4 linked regions of the Styela clava genome follow. The protein of the gene in region 3 binds, or shares a complex with, the protein of the main gene of each other region. Links are inferred from orthologs where the notes say so. Each region holds a gene or a part of one and is shown on either strand. Other genes may lie near its edges.

Evidence for each region.
Region 1: the proteins of NEDD8-activating enzyme E1 catalytic subunit-like (region 3) and NEDD8-conjugating enzyme UBE2F-like are in contact, whole or in part, in a crystal structure (PDB 3FN1), measured with the Homo sapiens proteins. The link is inferred for Styela clava from reciprocal best matches to the Homo sapiens genes UBA3 and UBE2F. Residues at the interface, in NP_003959.3 of Homo sapiens: Ala401, Thr403, Thr405, Leu406, Glu407, Gly408, Asn410, Arg411, Thr412, Ser417, Val418, Thr419, Ser420, Ile421, Arg424, Thr425, Gln442, Glu443, Ala445, Ala447, Asp448, Val449, Thr451, Pro452, Gln453, Thr454, Leu456; in NP_001265234.1 of Homo sapiens: Thr27, Arg28, Arg29, Val30, Asp34, Lys35, Val38, Lys39, Val41, Ala42, Glu45, Val54, His55, Phe56, Pro57, Asp58, Pro59, Asn60, Leu62.
Region 2: the proteins of NEDD8-activating enzyme E1 catalytic subunit-like (region 3) and NEDD8-activating enzyme E1 regulatory subunit-like are in contact, whole or in part, in a crystal structure (PDB 3DBR), measured with the Homo sapiens proteins. The link is inferred for Styela clava from reciprocal best matches to the Homo sapiens genes UBA3 and NAE1. Residues at the interface, in NP_003959.3 of Homo sapiens: Trp34, Glu35, Gly36, Arg37, Trp38, Asn39, His40, Lys43, Phe44, Glu46, Arg47, Ser48, Gly49, Pro50, Phe51, Thr52, Phe56, Glu83, Lys86, Asn87, Leu90, Ser91, Val106, Ser107, Leu109, Asn110, Arg111, Phe113, Leu114, Arg116; in NP_003896.1 of Homo sapiens: Glu10, Gln11, Lys12, Tyr13, Asp14, Arg15, Gln16, Leu17, Arg18, Leu19, Trp20, Asp22, Glu44, Lys47, Asn48, Leu51, Pro52, Gly67, Glu68, Ala70, Gly71, Asn72, Asn73, Phe74, Phe75, Gln77, Arg78, Ile81, Phe92, Glu95.
Region 4: the proteins of NEDD8-activating enzyme E1 catalytic subunit-like (region 3) and NEDD8-conjugating enzyme Ubc12-like are in contact, whole or in part, in a crystal structure (PDB 2NVU), measured with the Homo sapiens proteins. The link is inferred for Styela clava from reciprocal best matches to the Homo sapiens genes UBA3 and UBE2M. Residues at the interface, in NP_003959.3 of Homo sapiens: His53, Pro54, Asp55, Glu61, Ser62, Phe65, Cys70, Gln149, Asn152, Asp153, Thr154, Arg157, Gln158, Phe159, His160, Ile170, Arg173, Trp174, Ser181, Leu182, Leu183, Asn184, Pro192, Ile195, Val196, Pro197, Leu214, Met217, Arg254, Met255; in NP_003960.1 of Homo sapiens: Lys3, Leu4, Phe5, Ser6, Leu7, Lys8, Gln9, Gln10, Lys11, Lys12, Glu15, Lys21, Gly22, Ser23, Ser24, Lys25, Lys26, Ala27, Gln31, Leu32, Gln35, Lys36, Ile38, Asn39, Glu40, Phe51, Ser52, Asp53, Pro54, Asp55.

What each region holds. Positions count from the first base shown.
Region 1 is NC_135254.1:1,510,821-1,517,636, reverse strand, and holds NEDD8-conjugating enzyme UBE2F-like, read right to left. Parts: upstream 2,787-6,816; 5' UTR 2,305-2,786; coding exon 1,735-2,304; 3' UTR 504-1,734; downstream 1-503. Other genes in the region: uncharacterized protein LOC120343828, read right to left, coding at 1-462; DNA polymerase epsilon catalytic subunit A-like, read right to left, coding at 4,469-6,816. UniProt on the Homo sapiens protein: Accepts the ubiquitin-like protein NEDD8 from the UBA3-NAE1 E1 complex and catalyzes its covalent attachment to other proteins. Together with the E3 ubiquitin ligase RNF7/RBX2, specifically neddylates cullin-5 (CUL5).
Region 2 is NC_135263.1:19,899,069-19,906,893, reverse strand, and holds the start of NEDD8-activating enzyme E1 regulatory subunit-like, read right to left. Parts: upstream 3,010-7,825; 5' UTR 2,893-3,009; coding exon 2,754-2,892; intron 1-2,753. Other genes in the region: rab proteins geranylgeranyltransferase component A 2-like, read left to right, coding at 5,264-5,315, 6,210-6,350, 6,530-6,650. UniProt on the Homo sapiens protein: Regulatory subunit of the dimeric UBA3-NAE1 E1 enzyme. E1 activates NEDD8 by first adenylating its C-terminal glycine residue with ATP, thereafter linking this residue to the side chain of the catalytic cysteine, yielding a NEDD8-UBA3 thioester and free AMP.
Region 3 is NC_135257.1:11,905,311-11,912,141, forward strand, and holds NEDD8-activating enzyme E1 catalytic subunit-like, read left to right. Parts: upstream 1-3,821; 5' UTR 3,822-3,914; coding exon 3,915-4,384; intron 4,385-4,777; coding exon 4,778-4,955; intron 4,956-5,471; coding exon 5,472-5,948; intron 5,949-6,173; coding exon 6,174-6,398; 3' UTR 6,399-6,461; downstream 6,462-6,831. Other genes in the region: integrin alpha-D-like, read left to right, coding at 204-375, 554-629, 801-943, 1,215-1,326, 1,768-1,885, 2,234-2,364. UniProt on the Homo sapiens protein: Catalytic subunit of the dimeric UBA3-NAE1 E1 enzyme. E1 activates NEDD8 by first adenylating its C-terminal glycine residue with ATP, thereafter linking this residue to the side chain of the catalytic cysteine, yielding a NEDD8-UBA3 thioester and free AMP.
Region 4 is NC_135261.1:7,731,798-7,738,682, reverse strand, and holds NEDD8-conjugating enzyme Ubc12-like, read left to right. Parts: upstream 1-3,869; 5' UTR 3,870-4,234; coding exon 4,235-4,783; 3' UTR 4,784-6,355; downstream 6,356-6,885. Other genes in the region: fanconi-associated nuclease 1-like, read left to right, coding at 6,356-6,506.

The sequences.
Region 1 (6,816 bases), on a different chromosome or scaffold from region 3:
AAAAAATTTGTGAATAATTTTTAAATCCTCTGCAGAGTTACGTTGTAGTTGATATTCCACACGAGGGTGATTACCGATGCGGATCCCACTGCCTTTCGGTATTTCAACATTCTTTTTCTTGTCAACAGCGGGACTAGTTGCCTCGTCATCGTACGTGAAACGTTTAATTTTCTTTCGCTCTCTTTTTGCCTCTAGAATTTCAACAGGCCGCTCTAAAAGCCCGGGAGGAAGGGACTCATCAGAATCACTGTCACTTTGTTCATCATCGCCCACAATTGCGTCTGATTTTTCCGCATTTATTGAAGAATCCACAATTGTCGATTCATCTGCGACGCTCTGCTCTGTTTCTGATTGGTCAACTTTTTGTGTAAGCTCTGCCTTGGGTTCTGTTTCTACCTCTTGAGCCTCTGGCTCCACCTTTTCTTCATGCTCCACTGCCTTTCGTGGTTCTGTCTCGGACATGCTTGGTTGAATTATTTTTAAAAACTAAAGCTAAAAACAAATCTAGAATTTAAGAGAAAAACAGGATCAGTTATAAAATCTAGCAAAGAATAATTCAGAACTGATATTTTATAAATTATGATAATGCAACAAAAAAATTGAAAGTAACAGTACTTTAGTAGGGTTCCATATGCTCGCTCTGAGCAAGGCCCTGAACACGTAGTAAAGAGCGTTATCTGACAAAAAATATTCTGTATGATATCTTAGAAATTACCATAAAGAGAGCAAACTAACCATAAGGCAACAGTAATTAAATGATATGTTTTGGATTTTAACTCCATTAAGAATATAGCAAGTGGATATGTCAATTATACAGATGGACTAGATCAGTGGTTGGCAACCCTTTTTAGGTGACGGACTGGTAAAGCTCAAACAAAATTTGGAATCTACCAATCAAATTAGCACTATAAATACCACTGGAATGATAAAGGGGGCCATGAATGCTAAAAGTCTCCGGAAGGGGGCCACAAGCCATAAAAGGTTGGGAACTAGTGTTATGTAGAACTATAGTGGTGTATTATGACTAGGGCTGGGCATTTCGAATTGAATATTCGAATCGAATAGTAAATTATTCGAATCGGTTCAGAGCTAAATTTCGAACCGCCGCCATCTTGTTTTTATCTTTCCGCTAATGGTCGAGGTGAATTCCCCAATTTTTTTTCATTGAAGTCATATTTTTTCAACGAAATTCTAACATATGACTATTTTCTGTAGTGAGTTATTGATAAAACGTGTTTGTTATTCTGTGTGAACGCTCAGTAATCTATCTGGGTGATTTATTCTATGTCTTCATTAATTCATTTGTTGAGAGGACCAATTACTATAATAAAGTCGCTTACAATTTTATATTTTCAAGTATTCTAGATTCGATTCGAAATAAATTATTCGATTCGATTCTGAAATCACAAGGTATTCGAAAATGCCCAGTCCTAATTATGACCCAGTAAATTGCAAATTACACAAAACCTAAATTAGTTGGGTACCGCATATCTTCGCATATAAGCCAGAGTATGGCTTGTATGAGCATAAGCCTGGATATTTTCATTAAAACAAAAACGATATTTGAAGGTAGCAATATTCAAATATTAAATTTGACATCCCTAGCATACGGTGGGTTACGATTCGTAAGGTCGACTAATACGTAAATTTGTATAAATTCACCGTTATAAGGCCATTTTTAAGACGCCGGGCTTACATGCGAGAACATCTTATACACTAGAATATACGGTATGTCTATTTCTCGTGGTACGCATATCTTTGTATATAATACTGAACTTTTCTAGTAAAGCCTTTTTTATCTCTATGGTAATGGTCTGCTGCGTCAACATTCAATGGGTCATCAAAGTCACATAAGTCCGTAAATAGGGAGCAAAGTCCCCATATTACCTCCTTTAGGGTGCGCGTCGGTACCCAACCAGTCCCATCCAACGAATGGTCCCTTAATAGACTTAAACATACGTCCCCGTTCTCGGTAATATTAGGATGCCAAATTCTTGTCATACATTTTACATTCGGTGGCGCTATGTTATAATTTTCGGGCACTTCAACTTTGAATTCATATGTCCCGTGCTCCCACATTCCTTCATCTGGGGAAATTTCAACATAAAATTTATGCAAACAGTCCGCTTCTGGAAAAGTCACTTTACATGTCGCTGAAGTGATATTTTTTTCTAATTCTTGAACCTCCCCGATCAGTAATCGATCGCGGATTGAAACTCGGCCATGCTGTGGCTTCGGGGAGGATTCTTTCTTCTTGGCGTCTCCTTTTCCAGACTCTTTTATTTTCTTTGACAGTGTTAGCATTATGTATGAAAGAGTCGCTTCTTCAGGTAATCCAGTTAGGTAGATCCACAATAATATAAATGTCCAATTATAAATTCAACACCTTTTTCTTATTCCGGTTCTCCAAATACAGATCCAAAAATTCCAGTCAGAAAACGATTCACAAAAACGGTGCCTCTTGTTTTATAAAACCAAAATTTCCGAGTTCTCTCAAACAAGCTAAACTAATTGTAAAAGTCCAAGATTTTTCTAAAGGACTCTTCAAATGTTTCAGCGAAAAATAGGACTCGCATAGGCAAACCTCTTCGTTTTACCAAATTATTATCTTTCAGTTTGATGTTTTTACACCAGTCTTGGTACAGACAATAAAATCTAATTTTTATGATATCCACAGAAAACTGAACGAAAATATAAAATCCACGATTGTCCAGTGTTTCTCAATTTAAAACCGAACTATCCAGTTTGTTATTTCCATATGAATCCCGTTTTCAGTAGCAAATATAGATTACCTGTTATTAAATCTGTGAAAAGGAACAATATGGTCATAATTTATGAAAAATACAGAACATTCAGCACAAGTATGATTCAAGGAATTATAATAACGAATATGGAATATATAGGGTGTCCATGAAGTCTTTAAAAAATTCGAATTGCAAGGGAATTTATCGATACCATATATTGTTTTGACCCTCACAGATGTATTAAATGAAGTAAATGTACTTGAACAATTACTGATTAAAAAACAACAAACCTGGTTAAGATGTATTGAGAACTGACTTCATAATAAAATAGAAATTGTAAAGGGACTTCATGGACAATATATGGTATGGATCAATTTTTTTTTTCAATTTTAAAACATTTTAGGACTTCATGAACACCCTATAAAGTAAATTGGTGTAAAAATATTGTCATTTTATAAATGATTTCAAATAGTTTAATTTGGAAACTTAGAGCAAACTTTCTTAACGTGTGGTCACGGGAATTTTTGAAATGGGCCTGTGGACCTCCAGTGAGTTACAAATTGAAAAAACAGAGGTGATTTACACTTGAGGTCAACCAAGGTTTGGGAGTTCAGCTTGACAAGCTGATGAATAGACATAAGTATTAGTTTGGTTATGGGAACTTTCACTGTGTTGTTAATATTAATAAAAAGACATTCTTATTATACTAGAAATTTTTCTTAAAGGTGTTACAAGATTAAGGTAATTTGTGATGCTTCTTTTCCCAAAGGTTTTAGAAGTTTGAAGTATTTTTTTACGCTGAAAATAGGCCACAAGGGAATACAATTAGAGAACCACTGGTTTAGATAATTGTCATTTTTCATACTAACTAATTGCCACAATCTTTGTGAAAATAACAAAAATTTTCAGCGTCAGTGAAAATGTAAAAAGCCAAAATACAGGAACAATATGAACTGTAATTCAAATATTCAACACAAGAATAATAAAGGGCTCAGTCTTGCTCCCACTGGTGGTCAAAATCTCTATTCAAATCATGTTTCAAAAAATAAAATTAAAAAAGGGCAGTGTTTCAGTCATATCAAAGTTAAAGAGTGATAGCCGCCTAGCCTATTCATAGTAATACATGCAAATCCAGTGAAAAGCAAATGAAAATAACCAGTGTTATGTATTTGACATTTTTATCTTGACTCCTCAATAACTAAGCCATTGCACAGACAATTTGCTGCCTTCAAATTTTTAATGTATTTATAAAGTCGGACAAGCACCGAAATTCCAGTTTGCTACGTAACTAGAGCGATAGACTATGTGAGCTATCCCAGAAAAAACACAAAAATTTTAGCAAAATGGCAGTATTATTACATAAAAAAGGCAGTGTTTGTGTCATATTAAAGTTACAATAGAGAGTGGTGGCCATAATAGTCAACTACACAATTCCGCAAATAATAGCCAACCTCTTCACAGGCTGCATTGAAGCAAACCTTTTTACTCACGCAAAACTGACGTATTAAACGATGTTAATATCAAGAGCGTAGTATAATTAACATTACACATGAATAATAACAAAAAGATTCCCAGACCTATTATACACTCCTTAGCACATTTTCCAACTAGAGAGGAATCCCTCCAATGCCAAAAGAAGAGTTAGTGTGCCTAGTTGAGGAGGAATGAAGAGTTGAAAAAAAGTTAGAAACCCGCGCCCTTAGCATGTACTTGTCACTTAATGTTCACATGTACTCAGAAAACCATTTTACAGTTTCTAGTAATAAAGGCATTCCTGCGTGCTCAGCAATATTCTGAAATATTTTGATTGTATTTGTGAACTTTGACACCGGTATCGTTACTTCAAAATCTCCGGCACATTCGCAATATCTCGATAAATTTCCTTGTTTAATTCCGTTGCATTTTTTGCACGATAGATCCTGCAAAACATGACTTGCTGCTTGGCTTTGTAAACTTTCAATAAGTCGATTTTCGATCCATGAAATATCGTACGCTGTTCCGCAAGACTCGCACATCCACACAATTTTTTCCTGGCCATCTAGTGTCTGGTATTCACGACATAAATCTAAATCACGACAGTGGTTGCACGTAACACAAACGACTTCACCCAAAACAAACGAAGCACATGGATCGTTCCATTCTGCAGACGACGAAAATTCTCCGACTCCGATAAGTTTTAATAAATTCCGTTTCAGATGTTGAACTTGCGTCGTTACGTGAGAATCGAGCGACAAAACTTTGCACGCCGATTTCACGAATTCCAACGTCGGATTTGTGAGAGAAAGATGAGACCCAGGTAAAATAGGGAACATTTTGCTTCCACTCACTGGGTCCGAGCCTAATTTTTTCGCCATTTTTTGGACGATACTCAGAATTTGTTGAGTTAGTTCTCCTGTTATTAACTCCTGTGAGAATGTCACAATATGTTCCGTAATGGAAGGGTCGCTTGGAATGATTTTTGATTTCCCCCCTTTTTCTTCTTGCGACTGCGTGTCCCCCCTTCGAACTACAGGAGTCTGTCCAGGGAGGTATTTTGTTCTTTCACGTTTTGTTTCTCTATGGATCATTGAAATGTACCCCCCAATAATCATTTCAAAGCTAGTCTGAATTGCGGCAGCATGAGGGAGATATTTTACGAGACTAAAATTCATTTCAACAACATCGCCACCTTGTGTTGGATTTTCTTCCCCACTTTCATTTATCAAACTTTCGTCGAAGCGGATAGATTTATTCTGCGGCTCCGTTGATTGAGAATTATCTTTTTTACTGCTAACGCTGATCGAACTATCGTCCATTTTGTCCTCGTTTTCTTCCATTTGACCTTTAACCCCGGCAAAATTAGTGTGGTCAAGCCATAGTAAGTACTCCCAAGCTTGCACGATAGAAAGATCTATGGAATGGTATAAATCTTTAGATGTGATAGACGACGCTATGTAGCTGATATACGCCACTGCATCTGTGACAGAGCGTTTCTTTGTGCAAACAATGACTCGGCTAAAATCTGCGTACACGATTTTAGATCCCAATCGCTTAAACTCAGAGATCAACTGCAAAAAAACTTTACGCATCATGTTTTGTAGAGTTTTATGCAACGCACGGTCGAAAAGTAGAGAAGAACGACAACCCAACCATCGATAGAAATGCACAAGTTGGAAATCAGCCAGCTCGTTTCGATGTACAGACACGTCCCGAAGCCAACCTTGTACCATTGACTTCAAGATCCTGAATGTAGTTGAACACAAAACAGTATCGTCATCACTAGCAAGCGAATTCAACGCAGAATTCTGTCCACTTATCATATCTTCAAGCGATGATTGTTGAATTACGTCGAAACTCACGCCTGCACTCACGCCCCCGTCGACATCATTAACGCGATGTGATTGGATAATCGTGTTCACAGCTAAAGACGAGATTTCTAATTCGATACAAACGCTGGGATACGCTCCACTGGTGTTCACCTCAACTGTACTATTCGAATTATCCGATCCTAACTTGTTGTCGAACGCTTCCTTTCCTCCTAGATCTGGTTTTTCTGTCGCAGAACACCACAGGACATGGTTATGCTTCAGTAAATATCTTGCGAAAGTTAAATCCGCTACAAACAGGCTTGGGTCCAGTGGCAGATTACCGACGGGAACGCAAAAATATCGGCTATATTTTAGTAACTGGTCCAATAGAGGACACAGGTTTAAAAATTGTTGAACCAATCTCCGTGCTCCAACACGTTGCCATTCCAAAACTGCATATAAATTCTCGGGGTCTTTATTATGCAATGGAATTATTGGAAATTCTCTCACAGCTGGTATAAGACTCGATATTTTAGTAACAGAAAGTTGAGACTGAAATGCAATTAAAGTTGGGCCATGGTGCTCGTTTTTGTAAGTTGAAATATGCCGTTGCAGCGCTGAGTACATATTTTTAACGTCCTTTTCAATCCTGATCTCGAATGTATAATCAGTCGGGGGTAATTCCATGTCTTGTGCTGACGATAAAATTGCAGCATGTTCTGACTTGTACAACGATTGCATGTTTGGCATTGCATTTGTACGTACTGTGTCAACAACAAATATAA
Region 2 (7,825 bases), on a different chromosome or scaffold from region 3:
TTAGAGTTCCGGTATTCGCAGCCGTTTTTCTCTCTCTTGTTAGGCAGATGGGGAGGGCATAATGCGTCATTTACAAACCTATTATCAACTTATCTAAGATGGCCAATGTACATATTAACCGTAAATAAGGAATAGAATTGTGTCGAGACCGATGGACGCCAACACACCTGGTTTCAACTTCTTCGGGTGAAATGAGTGAAGAATGTAAGAGATCAACTTATAAAACATGGTCTATTTGTAAATGTCGTGATAATTAATGTCGCGCTTATCAAACAGCAAGAGACGGAAGAGAAATTGCGTAATGAACCAACGCAACTTAGTCCTTTCGGCATCGGTAAAGCGATTGAGACGGCAGAGAAACAACATTACGACGGGATTTCCCGTGTTTATTCTGCGCGAAATCCATTTTCTATTACAAAATCTTGATGTTCTGTTACCGGTTTTATCGTTATATATCTGTCCGGACTTGGCATTGCTCAATATGTTTTTCACAATGCCTCGCAAATCGCAATATGTCGGCCAAATATGATTACCTGTCTTTACCAAATGCGGCAACTTATTTTGATTTATCGTCGACCTGAATACCACCGGCACTCGACCAAACTTGTGTCAATCTTGGCAAATAGGATTGTCGACTTGAGTTAGAAAAATAAATTAATATTTTCATGAGTGCAAAATAAATGTCACAAAATGCATTGTTTTGCGATATAACTTTGTATTTTCGGAGAAGGCATGTCATATAAGTACGGTATTTTAAATAATGCGCAAATAATTAATATTTGATCTAAATTTATCGTAAATAATGTTATAACATTTAGGCCGCGAAATGATTTAATGTAAAATGAAGCATGGAATTCGGAATATCGTCAATAAGTCGGCATCAATAATTATTATAAAATGCTAACTAAGTAGTAAAGTCGGATATTGTAAAAAACGGTGAAATAACAAGTCTTCGTCGCGAGGCAAGCGAAAGTATAATCAAACGAGAGAATACGCTTGTAGTTGATTAATAAATTAGCAACCCGGAATTTTTATTCAATACGAAAGTCGTATTAATACGTCAATACGATTTTAAAAAAGTGAACTATCGTTTCTTAAACATATTACCAGTGTTGGTAATGATAAAATTGATCGCATAAAATTTGGTGATAAAGTTGATAAAGGAAAATCAAAGCTAATACAAAAGATAAAAATCAGAATAAAATTATTTTGAATTCACTCCTTGATATTTGTCTTTAACATCTGTCTCCGGCGTGTGGTACTGCCGGGAATATGAAAACCAAACTTCGATGTCCCATTCGGAATAGAAGTGGATTAAATTGGTTGGTATGCTAGGTTTAAATGTGTGAAAAAAATATCGCAATTACGGGGTCATTACGTAATCGATTTGGCCGTAATTACGGAATTGATTTTTGTCAATTACGTGCAAGCCTATTTCACACATTTCGGTAAGTTTGCACGCAGGCTCAGGCGTTTGGCGTGCCCCAGTCACTAATTGCACACCCCATTCCTCATGAAAAAGGCCATGAAACCCAGACTGACAATAGTTGTCGATTTGAAAAAAAATTAAAAGATAGTTTTTGGTTTTGTTGCATTTAAACATTAAGGAACCAACTAAATTCGAGTCTCATGTAGTTTCGTACCTAACATACTTCCAGTGGGCGTAGCATGACAATTTTTTCACATATCAATCCTAACCCCCACCTGACTACACCATCCAAAAATTACGTCATTACGACGTCACAGTGACGTAATAGAGCCCTTCAAACTACACGAACTGCCATCCAAGACGCGCAAACGAGCACCCGAAATCGAACAGTTATTTCTCTCGTTTTCTCGTCGCATCGATTTCAATAGTAGAGAGATCGATAACGTCAGTCAGTTCCTTATCGTCGGCGCCAATGCCATTTCGGTCGATCGTGCGTATATTTGGCAAGCTCTATAACGTGATTGTGATGTCGTAGTGTTTTAATTTTTGGATGGCGTAGTCAGATGGGGGTTAGGATTGACATATCAAAAAATTGTTATGCTACGCCCACTAGAAGTACGTTAGGTACGAAACTACACGAGACATCTAAATTCTACAACACTGTAAAATGGGTCTTACTACTTACTGAATACGGTACAGCGCGAAACACCGCAAAGAGCGCAAAACAGCGCGAAACAGCGCAAAAGCGCGCGAAACAGCGCAAAAGCGCGCGAAACAGCGCAAAATAGCACGAAACAGCGCAAAAGAGAGGAAAACAGCGCGAAACAGAAGGAAACCAGCGCAAAACAGAGGGAAACAGCGCAAAACAGGAGACGCAGTCATTACCACCTTCTGCCACGAAAGAACCACGGCGCCTCTCGCCATGGTTTTATGGCGCTATTTCCGGCATATTTACAAGGTTATGTACCGGATTATAGGTCATCATGCGAAATTTTATCTACTTTTTTGGTGCTCCACAAGTATGTGCAGCAATATGTCGCACAGCCTGAATATATACGTTGGTTTGTGTTTTTAATTTGCTGCCGTGGTACTCCAACTCAAAACAAGGTGCCCCGAACTCATTGCAAAATTTTTTTCTGCTTCACACTGTTTCCCTCTGTTTTGCGCTCTTTCGCGCTGTTTCCACACTGTTTTGCGCTGTTTCCCTCTGTTTTGCGCTGTTTTGCGCTCTTTGTGGTGTTTCGCGCTGTATTCAGTACCAGTAGTAAGACCGCTGTAAAATTCCGTAAATTCGTAATTTAAGTTCAAGGTTGAATAGTCAAACCTGGTAAAACCATGTTTTTCAGTATTTCAGTTCCAGTGGCTGTAACATTGATGAGGCAGACCTTAGCGTTTTCTAATGATCTCTGACCATGGTCACCCCACAATCGTAACTGACGATCATACTTCTGCTGCTTATCCATCGCTAGTGCATTTGGATCCAGACTTCAGAAAACCAGTTCGAATATTTTTACACACAACATGCATCTGTAAACAAGATGACAACATATGGGGAATTCCCTTGTATAAAGTTCAAAGGTTATAAATAGATAGATACCGGTAGTTTATTTTTAAAACTTCACAATCTGACAATACAAACAATTCAAAAACTATAATACGTACGATATGTTCCCGTTTAATATATGTTGAGTCAGCTGAACTATACAACTAATAATTACTTCGTAGTTACTACGGTATTGATGTTTCCCCGATTTTCCTGTTAACTTCCGTAACAATTTCCAATCCAACTAGACTAGAATTAGCTACCAGAACCTATAAGAGGCACGTCGTTGATTGTTTCAATGAAGAAAAAATGATGATTTTAGACATGTGAACAAGTTTGTAAGCGCCAACTCTCCAAAGCACTATCATAATAACGATAAGGATCCAAGTTGTGTTCTCTCATATGTACATGTTCATGTTCATATGTACTATATAGCTTTGGAAATATGGTATTTTAAATTTTTCACCCATTCATAATAACTGCCTCATTCTCACTATTTGATTTTTGTCGAACATAAAGTAAAATTAAATTTGAGGAAATTATAATTAGGCTTACGCCCTTCTTAATTTTTCACTTCTTTTCGCATTTTATTTACTATTAAAAAAAGTATAACCTGCATAATCATGCGATGTTCTTTTTTCTTGTAATTTTCAATCTTTGATTGATACCACCCTATTTGCAAATTAAAACAGCATTTCAGCGGATCATAATATGATGCAATATCATGCAAATCTCAGTGTATGCTATCAGATTTATAAAATGGATAGGAATTCACAATCTTATATATGGATTCTTCATATGTCTTTGTGAAAATTATTGAAGATACTATTATATATAGTCTGAAGTAATAATTATATGTACTATATAGCTTGGGAAGTATGGTATTTTTAATTTTTCACCTATTCATAGAAATTGCCTCATTCTCACGATTTGATTCGTGTCCAACATAAAGTATAAATAATTGTAATTAGCCCGACGCCCTTCTTATTCTTTCTCGCATTTTCAATTACTATTAAAAACATAATCTGCGTAAGCATGTGATGTTCTTGTTCCTTGTAATTTTTATTCCTATTCCAATACTTTCGGGGAATTGATTTCTGGGGCCTCTCAACCGGGCTTAAAACTCAAAAATTTATATTTCTTCTATTGTAATTATAATGCCTGCTTTAGAGTGTCCTGTCTTGGTAGAATCTTACCTTAGGGGTCGGTCGACCTTGTTGACCTTGGAAGTCTTGCCCGTCCCCTTCCGTATACATTTTTATGCTTATTGTTATTTGCTCATGCTTATTGTATTATGTACTTGTATCGGAAATAAATCATTATCTATCTATCTCTAAGTCTCCCCAAGTATCTCTCTCTCCTTCTCTAAGTCTCTCTCTCTCCCCAAGTTTGGGTGGTAACTGACTTTGACGACCGCCAAAGGTCGTATCGTTGCTTCCCAGTCATATACCGAAAACATCTGTTTATTTGAATAAACTCTCTCTCTCTCTCTCTAGTCTAGAATACTGTATGTTACAAATCAACTCCTAGGCATAGGAGACAGATACGTATACATATATTGTATACGCTGCGTAAAATATTCAAGCTTCAACTATCCACCCAGTTTTCTGCTGAAGTGCTCATTCTGCTGCCTGTGTATGTCAATGGCAAAAATACTGATTATCTGGGTACAACCGTAAATATATACTACTACCGTAGTAGTATATATTTACGGTACAACATCTCCGAAAAAAGTTACGTCATCCTTTACTTTTTGCTGATTGGCCATTGTTACAGAAAAAATAAACAAGAAAATCGATGCTCGGGGAAACATACATATTAAATATTTCTCTCTCCCTAGCCAAATATTCAATTTGGGCATACAGGCATAGCGCATAGCGGGATTGCTGCATTTTGTTTAAGTTGTTGTAGCAGTACGGTGTTGGTATTCAGGTGTTAGTACCGGTATTTATTGACGGTTCAGGTACGAAACGACTGCAATACGGCAGTCGCAATTTCAGTGACGCCAGCCCACTTTCAGACTTTTGATGTAGGCTAGCTGCCTGTACATTTGATTGTCTGATTGTGGGGATTGGTTTTGTTATTGAAGAATATGTTATGTTATTACTGTGTTAGTCCCTCACCTAAATTCCAGAATTCATTACGTTTTTTTTTCTAAATCAAACTCCATAAATATATGGATGGTTAACCCTCCGTCTCCCATGTAGAATTGCTGAATTGTGGGGTTCAAGTTATCCTAATATAGGTAACTTTATGCCATTTTGTTTACCAACCTTTCTTTTGGGTAAAACATGATGAATGAAGAGCTTGCCAATGATTTCGACATTATTGTTGTTGGGACAGGTGAGTACAAGAAATTTAATGAAAATACACATTGAGATCTATCAGTCGTCAACGTTAGATGTGATTTGCATGAAGTTTTCAATTGACTCCCGATGTCGGGATGTTGAAACAGTTTAGATTTTCAAAACCACAACGTTTCATTCTCAATTCTCCCTGGTCAACAAAATATTTTTATCGTAGTGCAGTAGTGCTTCTAAATAAAATATTCACTTATTCTGTATTCAATTAGGACAAGGTCAAATCCTTTCTGCATTTCTGCCACACACTTTTAGGCTAGTATCGTCCAATGCAATGCAAATGGTCTTCAGCATTGTTAACATTGCAATCTTGTCTATACAGCTATATATACCTTTGCAGGACGAGTAGGCAGACACACACTTTAGTGTCATTGGGCCTTATTCCAACGAAGTTGCCTATAACTCCAAACGAATGCCATACACCAATTCATTTATATGTCCCCTTTTTGCTTTATATTATAATTTTTGGTAAGGTAAACCATAATCCCGTTATCATATATATAGGCGTATATATTGCCTATATATAGTTTGGAAGTGCAACTAACTGCGTGTTATAACAGATGAATTAATATCAAGTTTGTCTTATACTGAAATCCTTCAAAATATTCTATTTAACTTGAGAACGTTTCTCCAGTTTGTGATACCATTACTGCTTTAACATGACTGCATGATGAGTTGATCAACTGGAATGTAAATAGTTCAGCAACATTAAGTTCCTTTGTTGTATGTACAATTTTACTTTTTATCCCTCAATTATGTTAAGCAAGTTTTGCCAGCCCTATTACAGTAATATTGTTATCTGAATCGCCATTGCAGAAGGTTCAATTGTTCTTATCGGCCATCACGACATGGTAAATTTACGCTTTTATTACCTCAGGTCTTTCAGAATCGATATTATCAGGAGCACTGTCGCGTATTGGGAAGAAAGTTCTTCATCTGGATCAAAATAAATACTATGGAAGTAATTGGTCTTCATTTAATCTACGAGCATTTGAAGCTTGGATTGAAGAAAGAGATGGTGAGTATAATTTACTATTTGAAAGATAGCAAACTACTTTGTGTGATGAAATGGATGAGGCTGATATAAATTTTGTTCCACATTTAATTAAGTCTCATCCGGTCATCCGGTCGAAACTTGTAAAATATTGTGCATGTAAAATAGAAACTCTTTTTCAACTTTATCTTGTTATCAAACAGATGATGCCAGAGTCTCAGTGAATGAGATTTCACAGGAAATAAACAATGAAACTGAAGAATTAGTAATTGTAGGAAATATTCGTAAAACCACTCAACAAGGAGTAGTGAAATGTTATCTACCGTAAGTTTATTCACCATAAGTTAGTCACCATTTACTCATCATGCCATCATTTATTCTTGTTATCAAGCATCTTCAAGTCAATTTTCATTCATTTCCTGCTAGACAACTGAGTGAGAGTTGAAGGTTTTGATGTGACTCTATAAATGATCATAAAATCGATGATCCATGAATGCAAAATCATGATAATGATGGGATAGTCATTGAAGACATGGGAATATACTTTGAAACTGGGTATTTACTAATAGGGGTCATAAAATAGATGACACAAAATATTGGCTTAATAATATGCTTGGAGTGTTTTCTTCGATCAGTATCAGTTAAAACTGGAGCTCGACCGATATATCGGGCCGATATTGCGTGTTTGCCGATATATCATATCGGCCGTATACCGCCGATATATATCGGTCATACTCGGCAAGCGCCGGGCTGCGTGCTGCAACAGCTCTCGCCCCTGCGTATATTTCTCTCGCTTTCATTTTGCGTTATAAGGGTGTCTCTCCTAATTCCCGGTGTCTTATGATTAGCCATTTCATGCATGGTCATAACTGAAAAGTTATATCTGGAGTAACAATGACATTTTATAAAGTGACATTTTTGAGAGAGTACACAATGAGAAAAAGGCAAATTTAGTAACAGCATTAAACGGTGGTTCTATAATAGAATCGATTGGAAGCTGGTGAGTTAGTAATCATAGAAACATGAAACAGGTAGCTCAAAGCAATAATGTCAGTTCGGAATTTGTGACCTCCCAAAATTCCAATTTTGAATTTATGGGGTAACAGTTTTGTCTATATTGATGGTTGTTTATCATTTTGCTGAAAATTACAAAATAAAAACTTAATCCATTATTATTGACTAAATAAGGTATTGAGAGTCTCTGGAAACAAAGTTATTAAAAATTTCACATGTAACTGCACATATGCTATCACAATATCGAAGGATCATTATCACGATTCACTTTAAAATATATCAATTTATATTTTTTCAATACCCCTAACATATGTCCATACTATAGACTCACAAGGTGCATTATAAAAGCGTGGCTCAAAATATGATTAATATTAATATCGGCATTGCGATATCGGTTATCGGCCATTTGGCCGATATATCGGTATTAGCGTCAAAAAGTGATATCGGTCGAGCTCTAGTTAAAACTCGTTAAAAACTGTTATTAA
Region 3 (6,831 bases):
CTTTTTTGGGGAATGGTGTAAATTAAATCGGTGAAAAATTCCAAAATAAAAACTAGAAAACATCCTAAAAATTGGAAAACCCTGTATTTTTTCGATCAGAATTGATATCTAAACTTTAAAATCCGCTAAGCATGTTTTAAAAATTCCTTAACTAAATTTGTTTGCATATTTTTTTCGCAATGTATGACAACCTGACATTTCAGGTTGTCCAGCCGGGCACGTTGACGTGTTGTTCGTGATAGATGGATCAAGGAGTGTAGAGGAAGCCAATTTTCAAATCGTAATTGCCTGGGTGAAGAATGTCACAAAAAAACTCGATTTAGAAAGCGGTCATACCAGTGTTGGCGTTGTTCAGTATTCTTCCTACAACCCGGGGTTTGTAATTTGTAATCAGCGAAACTATATATATGTATATACTAAATAACCATTAATAAAAAATTTGACAAAAAATGAAAAGTAATCGATAAATAACAACAGTTGTTTTCTGATTAAACTTGAACGTTTGTTATTCATACCATATAAATTAAAATAGTATTATTTTGCGCTGTTTCAGACAACCAATAAACGATCAAACATACATAAAGACGGAAATCGAAATAGGACAGGAAACTAATCAGACTTCCTTCGAGGTATGATTCAATTTTAACTGATTCAGTTTCAGAGAAATTTTCTACTAAAATATAAATTTATTAAGAAAATTTGATCAGATAAATTGCGTTGAAAGAAAATAACATATGTTTACGATAGGTACCACATCTGCAGATCACAAAATTGATAATATTTTCAATGTACTGTTTCAGGCAGCAGTTGGCAATATTTCATATTACCAATTTACAACACCTACAGGTTATGCATTGAGAAAAGTGATGTTTGATTTCAATGGAACCAAAAATTACGGCAGTCATAACAATAAACAAGTAATGATTCTACTCACTGATGGAAAGTAAGATATATTAAACACAAGATAAAATATTTACATATTACATTAATCAAAATCAAATTGCTACAAACATTTGGAACACCTCCTTTGACACGCCTCCTTTCCTATGTTGATTTTTTCGATTTCCGTTCCCCAGAAATTACTCGCAAGTTAGCCTACAATAAATGTCCCACGCGCCACAGTATAGAAACTTGTATTTAGTATAAAATTACAATTATCTTCATATTTTACCCCACCTTCAAATGGAAACTTCAACATAAATCTCGCTTTTCAGAGCTAATGCGGCAGATCAAGAATTTATTCCAGAAGCCGCCGCTGCGCTGCGTGATATGGGAGTGATAATTTTTAGTGTGGGGGTTGGAGATGCGCAACCAACCGAATTGCAGGTAAAAATAAAGTATATAATTATTGTTTTTATGATAATCAGTTTTCTATAGCACATATTTATTTGTGATATGAACACTTGTAAACAACGTAAAACTTATTTCTACTAATTTTATTTTAATTTAATAAAGCACCGAGATAGCATGTCGGCGGTGTTGTCCATTGTGCTGAGTCATTCCTGCGTGGGTTTGCAAGCTTGAATCCCATGCAGGGCAAATTGTGTGCAAGAGGATTGCTGGACTCCTCGCCGCCGGTTACGTAACCGCTGGTCGGTTACGGGTTTCTCCGCCATCAAGTCTATGCATTTGAAAACAACAACAAACTGGTAACCGAACCGTGGCCGTGGTTCGCCATATGATGAAGCTCTTATCGGATTGCCTCACCTCACCGGGATGAATATGTAAATCCTTTCCCTTCCTATCCAATATAAACAAATATTTCAGATCATTGCCAACGGGGCTGAAGGCAACAACGAAAGAGTAGAACTGCTGACTAACTTTGAAGATTTGGATAGTATTGTAGATGAGTTGGGAACAGAAATAAGAGCGGTCAATCCCGAAGGTAACGTGATACAAAAACATGATATGATTTTTCTTATCATATATCGTCAATACTTTTTATACAATACTTTATATATATATTAGTTAAACATCAAATGGGATTTGTCAAAATCCAAATATTTCCGTAGCGCACTCCCCGCTGTAATTGGAGCATGGTAAACCGTAGTAGTATATATTTACGGGTAAACTATGCGGTGGAAAAATTTAGCTCATGTGACCCAGAATGGCATCAGCACTACTAATACTACACTCACCTACCTATTCATGTGGTGGTCACGAGAGGGATATTGAGCTGATCATAATTCCAAGACTTGCGAAATGAGACCATATTAGTTTATTTTTACGTTAGGTGGAGCTGCGGATTTGTACAATCAGACCGGTTTTTCAATCGCTTATAGCAAGAAAAATGGGGTGAGTTACTTGACCTATAACGAACCCATGACAGAGTGGCTAAGAATGAAAACAAACAAGTTGAAATAAATTATTACAACAAATTTAAACTATAAATTGTTTGAAAACTTCCATTTTCATTGGCGTAATTCGTTTTGTAGTTTTGAGGGAATCAGTTTGAGCGGTTTTTTGTTTCGTATACTCATTGGTTTTCTGTATAAATGTAACTTAGATTGTGTCTAGATTCTAATTAAACTAATAAAATGAACCGTGCTGCCCATATGTTCATAAAATCAAATTACAATCGTGCCATCGGTCCACACTTTTTGAAAATAAAAACTGTATAAATAAACTCACATTTCAGGATTTCATGCTTGTTTTTATGTTTGTGTGAGTGTGAAATGGTGTGACTGGTGTGTGTACGAATTCTTTCATCGGCTATCGAAATGAAGACGCATCCGATTTTTCGGCGGATTCTGAAGGCTGATCGGTATCATTGCATATTAAGCGTCGTTATCCTTTCTCTCTGAAAGTAGGAATTCGGACAGGACATTTCACAAAATATTATTTATGAAAATAAAAACGTGGCGACTGTAACCAAAATTTTACTTCGATTTTGTCATCAATCGATCTTAATGCATATATTCGCCTGAAAAATATCCCCTTCAATACAAAGTTTGTTTTGAACTCGTTGCGGAGTTAAAAAATATCTGCCGTATAGGGTATAATGAATCGCGGATGGAATAGATCAGTTGGCTGTTTGGCAAAGATGCAGTCTCGCAGAGACTTTTTGGCATTCAACATTCATGTTTTATGTGAGTATTTTATTAATTAACTAATATCTGGTACCGGTACCAGTGTAAGTAATTATGAGCAAGGTAGCCAAGCCACTTTTATTCAGATGCCCTTTTCTTCTCTCAATACAATTACCGATGAAACAGCCGCTAGGTGCTGAGGCGGAGTCGAAATCGTACCCAGGTTGGCTAAGCTTCTTCGTTAGTCGGTTGCTGTATTGAGCTCATCTTTTGTGATGATATCTCGATCATTTATTAATCAGATCAGATTCGGAAATATTCGATTCGAAAATAAAATATTCGAAACTTACATCCCTAGACTCATGGCTAATCTACTCCCTGACTCCTGTACTTCCAAGTACAGAAGTGCTCAAAAAGCTTAGCGCTGTTCTGAATATTACTAATGACAAAATTTCAAAAAAGTTTTGATACTTCGCTTGTTTTGAATTGTACTTGAAATTTCCTCAGGATGAATATGTAAATCATATCCTAGCAATTCTTAATGCTATTTTACTTTTTCGTCCGACTAGAGATGAGTGTTGCAAGTGAAAAAAGCTTATTTTCAACCAGCATTGTTCCTAGTGCAGTAGTGTATATACCTACCGTCTACCGATATGTACTTTTCATCAGTTTGTAATTATTTTAAAAGCAACTCACACTGTTCTGTGTGATGTGAATTGACGTTTTTCTGTGTAAATCTGACTGATAAAGAATATAGCCCTTACGTTGTTGTAACAATCAGGTTATTACAGAATTAATTTATTCACATACTGTTTTTTAAGAAACTCAAATCTAAAAAATAGCCCGGATATTTTTTAACAAGTTTTGTGGAAAAGTTGTCACAAGATGTCAGAACCTATGGAGCAGTCGGACGAATATGACTCAAATATATCAGATTATCCATCAAGATGGCTTCATTTACGTAAAGTTTTAGAACGTGGTGGGCCATTCTGTCATCCTGATTTTGATCCTTGTCCAGACACTTTGAATTTTATGAAAGCAAATTGCAAAATTTTGGTTATTGGTGCTGGAGGTCTTGGATGTGAACTTCTCAAGGATCTTGCATACAGTGGATTTTTGAATATTGAAGTTATTGATATGGATACGATTGATGTTTCAAACTTAAACAGACAGTTCCTTTTCAGAGAAAAAGATGTTGGGAAACCCAAAGCTAATGTAGCTGCTGAATTTATTAATAAACGCATTCCAGGTTGTGTAGTAGTTCCTCATTACTGTAGAATAGAAGATTTTGATGCTGATTTTTATCGGATGTTTCATATTGTAGTCTGTGGTTTGGACTCCATTGTAGCAAGAAGGTTAGACTCTCTTAATTTATTATTAGGACACTTTGGCTAATTTTGCAAGCGAATAAGTAGTTAGTTGAATTTGTATTAAAAAATCATCAACTCAAATGCGTCGGTATTGTACTGATTTACTACTGTAGTATAATAAATATACAGGGTGGGTGTAAAAAATAGTAACATTTCTTTGTCCCACTCTGTATATTGTGAAACACATGCTAGGGAATATATTGTAACAGTTTGTGTAATTGATTTTCAGTTTTGATTTGAAGCCTTATTACAAAATGTAACTTAGATAACAGTACAAGCACAGGTGCGTTTGGAGTTTATATATTTTGCAGCAAAGAAACTTTGGTTTGAATTATTGCTTTGTGAGTTGTTCAATAATGTTAATCTGATTTTTCACAGATGGATTAATGGAATGTTTCTGAGTCTACTTGAATTTAATGATCAAGGAGAGCTAGATCAAACAACTATGGTTCCAATTGTAGATGGAGGAACAGAAGGTTTCAAGGGCAATGTAAGGGTTATACTTCCCGGGATGACTCCATGCATCGAATGCACTCTGGACTTATACCCTCCTCAAGTAAGACCATTATATTTGGATATAAATTTTATGTATTTTCTCTTGGCAACAGTGTGTCAATGCTCTATTTTTTTAGTTTTGTGTAGTTGTATGAGACAGAACTTGAATATGTGTCTGAAACCCAATTGAAAAACCTGATTAAATTGTGATATTTTGTCAATTTGGGGTAAATTTCTATTTCAAATAAAACTTAGAAGCAGCAGCAGAATTTATTCATTCATCCGGAATTATTTTATTGTGAATATTAGAATACCTTTTCTCTGATTAAACTGAATTATAATTTAATTCCAGAATATAATTCAAACAGAAAATCACAAAAATGTTGACTTTTTCCATAATTATAATTTATATACCTTTACATATAAAGTTGTACGAGTAATTTGAATCATTTTATGAAAACTTGAAACGAATGTCTTCGTTACTTGGTCGCACTAAATCCATAAGTATGCTTTAATAATAGAATCCTAGACATATTCCTATGTATGATGGGTTTACTTGGTGTATATTTATTTTAAGGTGAATTTCCCAATGTGCACTATTGCTCATACTCCGCGGCTTCCTGAGCATTGTATAGAGTATGTTAAAATCTTGTTATGGCCACAAGAAAAACCATTTGGACTCGATGTTCAAATTGATGGTGATGATCCAGTCCATATCAAATGGATTTTCAACAAAGCAGTTGAAAGGGGAAAAGATTACGGAATCGAGGGAGTAACATACAGATTAACTCAAGGTGTAATAAAGCGTATTATTCCGGCTGTGGCGTCCACTAATGCAGTGATTGCAGCAGCATGCACTTTAGAAGTTTTGAAGCTTGCGTCAAGTTGCTGCATGCCATTAAATAACTATATGATCTTTAATGACGCCGAGGGAATATACACATATGCATACGAAGCTGAGAAAAAAGAGGATTGTATAGTGTGCAGCCTACGGCCACAGAAGCTAAAGTTTCGAAAATCTGACAAGCTGCAAGATGTTCTTGACTATTTGAAGGTGTGTTTTTTGTTTAAGTTGATAAGATACTTAGTAACTCTATCAATAAGATGGCTATTCATAGCAATTTAGAATGGATTAAAAGGTTAGTTCAGATCAATGTTTTTGTCTTGGTGTGAAGTAAACTTCCCAAATACAGTGCTTGTCACTTTGACATTAAATAGATCTTCCGTCAATAAAAAACATTCCGAGAACTTCCTAATTGCTTGCTATACTGATTTACAGGAGAATTCTGCTTTACAAATGAGAGCTCCCGGTCTCACTACAAGTGTTGGTGGAAAGAATAAAACTCTTTATATGAGTACGGTCAAATCTATCGAAGTTGCCACAAAACCAAACTTACAGAAGACATTGGATGAACTCGACATTCAAAATGGACAAGAAATTGTAGTTGCAGATGCAACTTCACCGAACCCATTAATTTTTAAAATGCAGTATGACGAAAAATGAACCTATCTAGTATAATTATAGGTCTATTATTAGATTTTGATTGGTTTATAAAGTTCCTTTTAATTTGCTGAACTGAGTTTGCTTTCCTGCTGCTAGTCGAAGCTGTGATTGAAAACTTTGCACTGTCGATTTTGTTGTGAATTAGAAACGATGATGTGAAACCGGTATTTTACATATCTCATATCTCTCGCATTCTCATTTTTCTTCCATCTGCAATCTCTGAATAAATTATGTAGTCTTAATGAAGATAATTGTGAGGAGTATAGTTTTTCTTCTACATGCAATATGGTCCAACTTCGCTTCACTGGATGCAATAAACAGCTTTATTTATTTACTGGGTCTGATTTCGCTTGACTGAATTTAAAAATGCAATGAACATCTTGATTTATTTTCTGGAGTCGCTCCACAACATTTTCACTATCAGTTCTGGCCA
Region 4 (6,885 bases), on a different chromosome or scaffold from region 3:
TAGACTATGACACTTTTTATGAGTAGAAAATGTTCGTATTTTGTGATAGGTGTGCCGCAACCAATGACATTTAACAACATGATGCGCAACTCCGGCATTTTTGTCCGAAGATCGTATTCGATAGCACGCTCCAATGCACATACTTGACGAGACGAAAACGAGCGGATGTGTGCTGCTTTCAAGGCGTAGCACAAATGGTGTTCGTGCCTGCTTTGACAGTTGTTGTCGATTTTAATGATATTTTGGAAAATTGAAGGTAAAAAGAAATCGGAAAAAGGTAAGGTAAATACTATTGTTGTATATCACACCCGGACATAGCACTGTTAAGTACATGTGGGAAAGCCAGCTTTTGTCAAATACTACGAAGTTATCAAATCAATACGGTACGTAGTTGCCCATTTGCCGAAATTGCGTATTTACTTACCCTTTATGGTTTCAAATAGTTCATGCACCTCCATTTAGATTTTTCTAATCAGTGTAGAAATATATACTCATTGCTGTAGCATACTATTGCTCATTCACTTTTATTTGCGTATTGAATCAAAGGGTTAACAAGTTCACCTAACATTTTAATCATACCGGTCTATATTGTATAGTATGATCTCTCAAGTATTTGGAGCCACGAATGCTTGTAATTTTCTGACTAAACCCTTTTATTAGTTGATTTATATACCAAATTCAATAAAACATTTTTTACATTAAACATGAGATATTGGATTTATTAGCTTTTCCATTCTAAGTCATATTGACTGCTTTATTTATTCTTAACGAAAATTAATAAATCTCCTCTCTTTCTTCAGATGTGAAAGTTGTGGACAAACCTGTCTAAGCATTGTGAGACTCCTGTAGCACAAGAGGCAATAGCAAAAATAGTAAGTATATCAATCAAAAAATTAAGCCGACATAAAGCAAAACTTTCAACTATTCGTCTAATCTCAATTTCCTATTATTTATTCACAGGACAACTGTAGCAGAAGGGGAGATATCAGAAGTCTGGCGACATATCAGTGACAGTGTGATTCCAAGAAATATAATTAGAATACTCCATAAATGTTTGCAATAGAAGAACAACCTATGAAGGCATGCAAAAGCATTTGACCCTCCGGTAGAGTTGTGTATGGCCCCTACATCCTGCAAGGCTTGAGGAAAATAACTAAAAATTCCAATGCGTAAGATTGCATAAGCGGTCTTCTTTGTGAAAAAGCACAAAACATGCCAGGCATACTTAAAACAGCTTTGAAAAATGAGGATTACGGGTCACTACACCTATGCTATATTTGGTTCATCAATTTTTGGTAGTACTATAGAAAAAATTCAGGAAAGGGTATAATCATGATTCATGATAAAATACTGGTATATATTTTGGACAACTTCAATCTAGACCAAACTCGCGGCCCCAGAGAACTTCCAGTGCGGCCTCGAAAGCTTAACAATAATTGTAAAAGTATTTTGGAAGTTTTTTTTATCTAAATGTAACAGCTTTTTCAAACTTTTTTAAGTGAAATTGAATATTCACACAGAAAACAATTTACTAAAAGTAGTTTTAAAAAATTAATTTTTTTTGTTCACATTTTGACCCATTTAAGAATACACATCAAGCTAGCAAAATAATACTTGAATAAAACACTTGAGTTATTAAATTGAACGCAAAGTACATGAAGAAGGTGGCATTTTCGAAGAAAATGGGAGTTGCAATATTTCTGCATTTCACAAAATTCTCTGAAGCACATTGTTTAATTTGTCATATTTCCACCAGTACAATGAAAAACACAATAAGCTCAGCAGTCAATATGGCAAATTCGAAGACCAACTTCGAACAGAAAATTTCCATGTGTTTGTATATTAATATAATTATACAACTTTTTTGTTACTAAATATCAATAATAATTCAAGCAATCCTATGCCATGCAATGTGGCGCGAAATGTCTTGTCGAAAAAATCTGTCATTTGTTTTTTTACTGATCTATACATGAAATGATAAAAGTAACTTTTTTGCATTACTGGAATTAATTAAACATTTGCAAAGATCCAGATTAACCCATGATCATGTGACCTCGTTAGTTAGAGTTGGTACTATAAAATTATTTCATCCTGGCTTTAGTATGCTGGTGACACAAAAAAGATGCCAAACGTCAGGACAAATGTAATTAAAAAACATTGAGTTTATATTGTAGTATTTTTGTTAATTTTAGGTCCATATATTTAGATTAAGTCATTTTTTTAGTGTATGTATTATTCTTTCCTTATCCAAAGCTTGTTCAAAAATGATTTTGATGGTTGTACATAGAATTTTATGATTTTTTGTAATAAATACAGTAACTTGCAATAATAGTGGAATGCAAATATTAACATGAAATTGCATTTGAAATTAAAGAAAATAATAAAACTTAATCCAACTGTTTAGTTGCATCCTAATATATGTCACAAACTAAAACTATCTTGAAAATATCTTTCAAGTATACATTATCAAAAACTGTTTGCGGCACTTTTTACAATTTCCAACATGCAATGCGGCTCTCGAAAACCCATGAGTTTGACACCACTGATCTATTCTAGACAATTCAAGCATTTCTTTGGGAAATATTATAACTTCAAATAAATTGAAAATAATCTTGCCGTATTAAATACGAAATCGTTGCTATCATAAAGATAAACCAATTCAGCCACTGGAAATATATTGGCCTTCACAAAGCAATGGAGGCAAAATTAAGAGTTCATGAGCTATGAACTTTTGTTCTTTTCTTTGTCTTAAACTTTTCATACTCCACAGCCCCTATTAATTTTTTTTTTAATTTCAATTACCATGTGATGGTAATACATATCTTTAACTTGTATTTTCTGTAATGATGTATTATCTCAATGTGTCAAACTTTTAATTAGTGTGCATATTTTGCTTCCAGATGACATAAATGTATTGTCCTGTTTATTACCTCAGCTTGGAGTATTGACAAGAAAAAGGTGCCAGTAAATTCTTTGTTATAATCAGAATTCACAATTAATAGGAATTATAAACAGCCACCAATCAATGAGAATTACATGCGAAATCCCTCACAATAAATTTGTCTAATAATGTCTAATAAATTCACCTACTAAAGCAAGTTCGATAGGTGCAAACTTTGTGTTATGGAATTGTATCACAGCACCGTTGGGAGAAGTAAAAACAGTTTTGCTGTTTTGTATGACACCCTCTTTAAATGAAATTTCAATGTTTACGCGTAAACATTAAAATTACTAACTTTGAACTTTGTCATTATCTGCAAAATGTCCCACACAAATCTTTACTCTATCGCGTTTGTAATCTTCTCTGATAAAAAAAAAAGTCTATGATGTCCAGAATTACTCTTTACAGCTTGTATGTCATTCCAGCTTTCAAAGTGAGCAAAACTTCTTAGATATAGAGATTATTTTCTTTCGTTACAGGCGCAAAAAGGCAGGTACTAAACGTAAAGAGGACGCCGATTAGCAAAAGCAAGCGGAAAACGGTCGCGAAAGGCGACGAGAAATATGTGCATTGGAGCGTATCATGAAATACAATCTTTCGCATGTAGTCTTATGGAGTGACGTCAGAGTTGCCTATCATGTTGTTTAATGTCATTGGCCGCAACTATTTAAATAGCACTGCCCTAGATGCTCTAATATTTCTGCGTCGATATTACATGAGATAAATACGTGATTTTATTGTCATGCAAGTCGTTTGAATTTTTTACTTAATTCCGAAAAATCACGGGATTATACGGCTCAATCCCGGGATATCCCGATACCGTGATTTCAAGAACTGGCTCCGAAATCCCAACCCTAGTGGTGCATAGAGTCTTGTTTAGTGTAACTAAAGTTTAAGTTGTTTGTTGTTGTTAAAATATCTATATTTTATATTACTGAATACCGTACTAAATTCGTAATAAATTTTTGGTAGTGTTTTTTCTAGTTACCCGAAGTTGTCATAACGTCATATGCCATTCTCAATCATTTCGATATATATACACACCACTATCTGAAAGGAGAAGTTACTTCTTTGTTTATTCCCTACGATCGCTTTGTCGAGATTGACCATTTTAGCCTGGGTGTTGTCTTTGGTCAAGATTTGTCTCAGACAGTTTTGGGGCCATAATTTGAAGCCGGAAGAAAATCAGTGAGATATGAACCAATAACATTTGTGGGAAGAGAATTGAGAGCGTGTATGGGTGTAGACTGTGCAGTTGAAAATTTTTGATCAGAACAGAAAAACACGAAGAAAATGATAAAATTATTTTCACTAAAACAGCAAAAGAAAAATGACGAAGCATCGGGGGCTTCATCTGGTAGAAGAAAAGCTTCAGCGGCTCAACTTCGAATTACTAAGGATTTAAATGAACTGCAGTTACCACCTACATGTAGTACTATTTTCCCTGATCCCAATGATTTACTGAATTTCAAGCTTATCATTGCCCCTGATGAGGGGTTTTACAAAAATGGTAAATTCACTTTTACATTTAAAGTTGGGCAAGGTTACCCTCATGATGCCCCAAAAGTAAAATGTGAAACCATGGTTTACCATCCTAACATTGACCTTGAAGGAAATGTTTGTTTGAATATTCTCAGAGAAGATTGGAAACCTGTTCTTACCATTAACTCTGTCATTTATGGGCTTCAATATCTTTTTCTTGAGCCCAACCCTGATGACCCTTTAAACAAAGAAGCAGCGGAGATGCTAACAAAAAACAGACGTGCATTTGAACAGAATGTATACAAATCAATGAGGGGTGGTTACGTTGGGAGCACATATTTTGAGCGATGTTTAAAATGATTTTTTTGCAATGTTGATATGTATTTGATATCATTTTGATGCCTTTATAATGATAGTTTATTTATATAGGCTATTTGGTAAGTTTTACCATTGACACAGAATAAATGGACTAAGGTTGCTTTTGACGACTCGAATAAAATACTGGCTATTTTGTAAGACATCTTTTATTTCACCATACGTTTTATATTTATTTTGCATAATTCTGGTTACTCTAAGTGGGCTTTTGTGTAGAAAATTCAGACAATGTTTTATTATAGAATTGATTGAAATTTTATCTTTCCAATGAAAACAAATTCATATCTACATTTGGTCAACTTTTAAAAATAACTTTCTGTCTATCGAATGACATAATTTCCAACGATTTTCGAAATTCAACTTATCTATATGCTCTGAAATAATCTGTTGAAATTTTTGAAACACCTTATAAATCTATTCTTAACATTTAACATAACACAATGACGAAAAATGCATTTAATTTCTTATTTCATCCATATCATTTAAATATCTATCAATATGCATTGTGGTATTTGATTTACAGTCACAATCTTAAAAATTTAATTTTGTTGCTTGAGCTTTCTAATAATGTTTTGTATGAAAATGCTACCTGTGCAGCTTTATACCATCGGAATTTTAATCCAGAATTTAAGATGTGATTAATACTGATTGAAAATATACTAAAATTTAACCAATGAGTAACTGTTAAGTTGTCCTCAAACATATCTAATTTTTCAAATCAATTTTAATATGGTGATTTTTTTTTGTTCATTAAAATTTGTGAAGATGATTGGTTGATAAAAAATAACCCAACAACTGTATCACTGATATTAGTATGTCTATATCTGAAACACATTTCTATTTTGATTATTTCAAAAAATTCATTCATGTGGCAAAAACATGCTATAAAGCCAGTTTTTCGATCAAAATATCCTACACAGATATTAAAATCAAAATATTTTGACAAGGGATTTGTTATCCTTTATAGCAATATTAAAATAATGTTCTTTAAAAATTCCTCTTTTCAATATGATGAGACAAGTGTCCAAAATATTGGTATTGGCCATGGTTTTATTTTCTGTTATTTATGTTAAGACGCATAATCAGAATCAGTATGATTGTTTTGAACCATGCTAGAATACTTCCCAAGTTCATTATTTTTGGTCAGTCAATGATTTTGTTCAAAATCATTTTAATCTTTGATAAATATCTTATCTGCTGCTGATAATCATTGCAGATGAGGGTCCATGTTTTTGTCACTGATAAATATTTGAGGTTGAAAAATGTAGCAGGTGTCTAACTTTGTGCTATGTGCTCAAATGTGGTTATGTAGGCTACCTCAAAGCTGATGAGCAGAATATTCCCTAACTTAATAAAATAATAAAACTCTGGCATTTTTGTGTTGTATTGACTATCTGCTTTTTTAATGAGGTGAAATACCTGTTTGTGACAAAATTACATTCTTATATGGAAGCGTGATATAATAGCATAGGAACCTTTCCCCCATTACGCAATAAATTCCAATTGCTTCTCAAAATTTTGTTTATATTCTGATGAATTGCTCTCTATACCACACCTATGAGCATATTATATGTGACTGCATGTCTCTTTGTATTTTATTTCAATTCACATTGCTTATTGAAAATAAATAAAATACTAGACCAATCCAATCAAGAACAAAATGGAAAATACTTCAAGAGAGCTTTTTTTTGGATAAAGCCGGAGAAAAGTAAAGCACTAATTTGTTACGACTGTATTCTTTTTAATATCAATTTTGCAAAATTACTAATCACTTTTTTTGCCCAATCTGATCGAAACATTTAGCTTATATCAAGCTACAGTTTTAAGCCATCGTTTTAAGTTTTGTCTTATGTTTCTATAATCAATTCATGATTTTTAGGAATACGGTAGTTCAAAATAGTTTTACATTAAAATTATCATTTTGGGCATTTGGCAGCTTGTATTCGAATAAGCTTTAATAGAATCTGAAATTAAACAAACTCATAATTTAGTTAGTCATAATTTTTCTGCACCATAAAGTTCTATCAAATCAAAGAGAGACTATATACATTATGCAATATTTCAAAATATTTTTGAAATTGCGATTT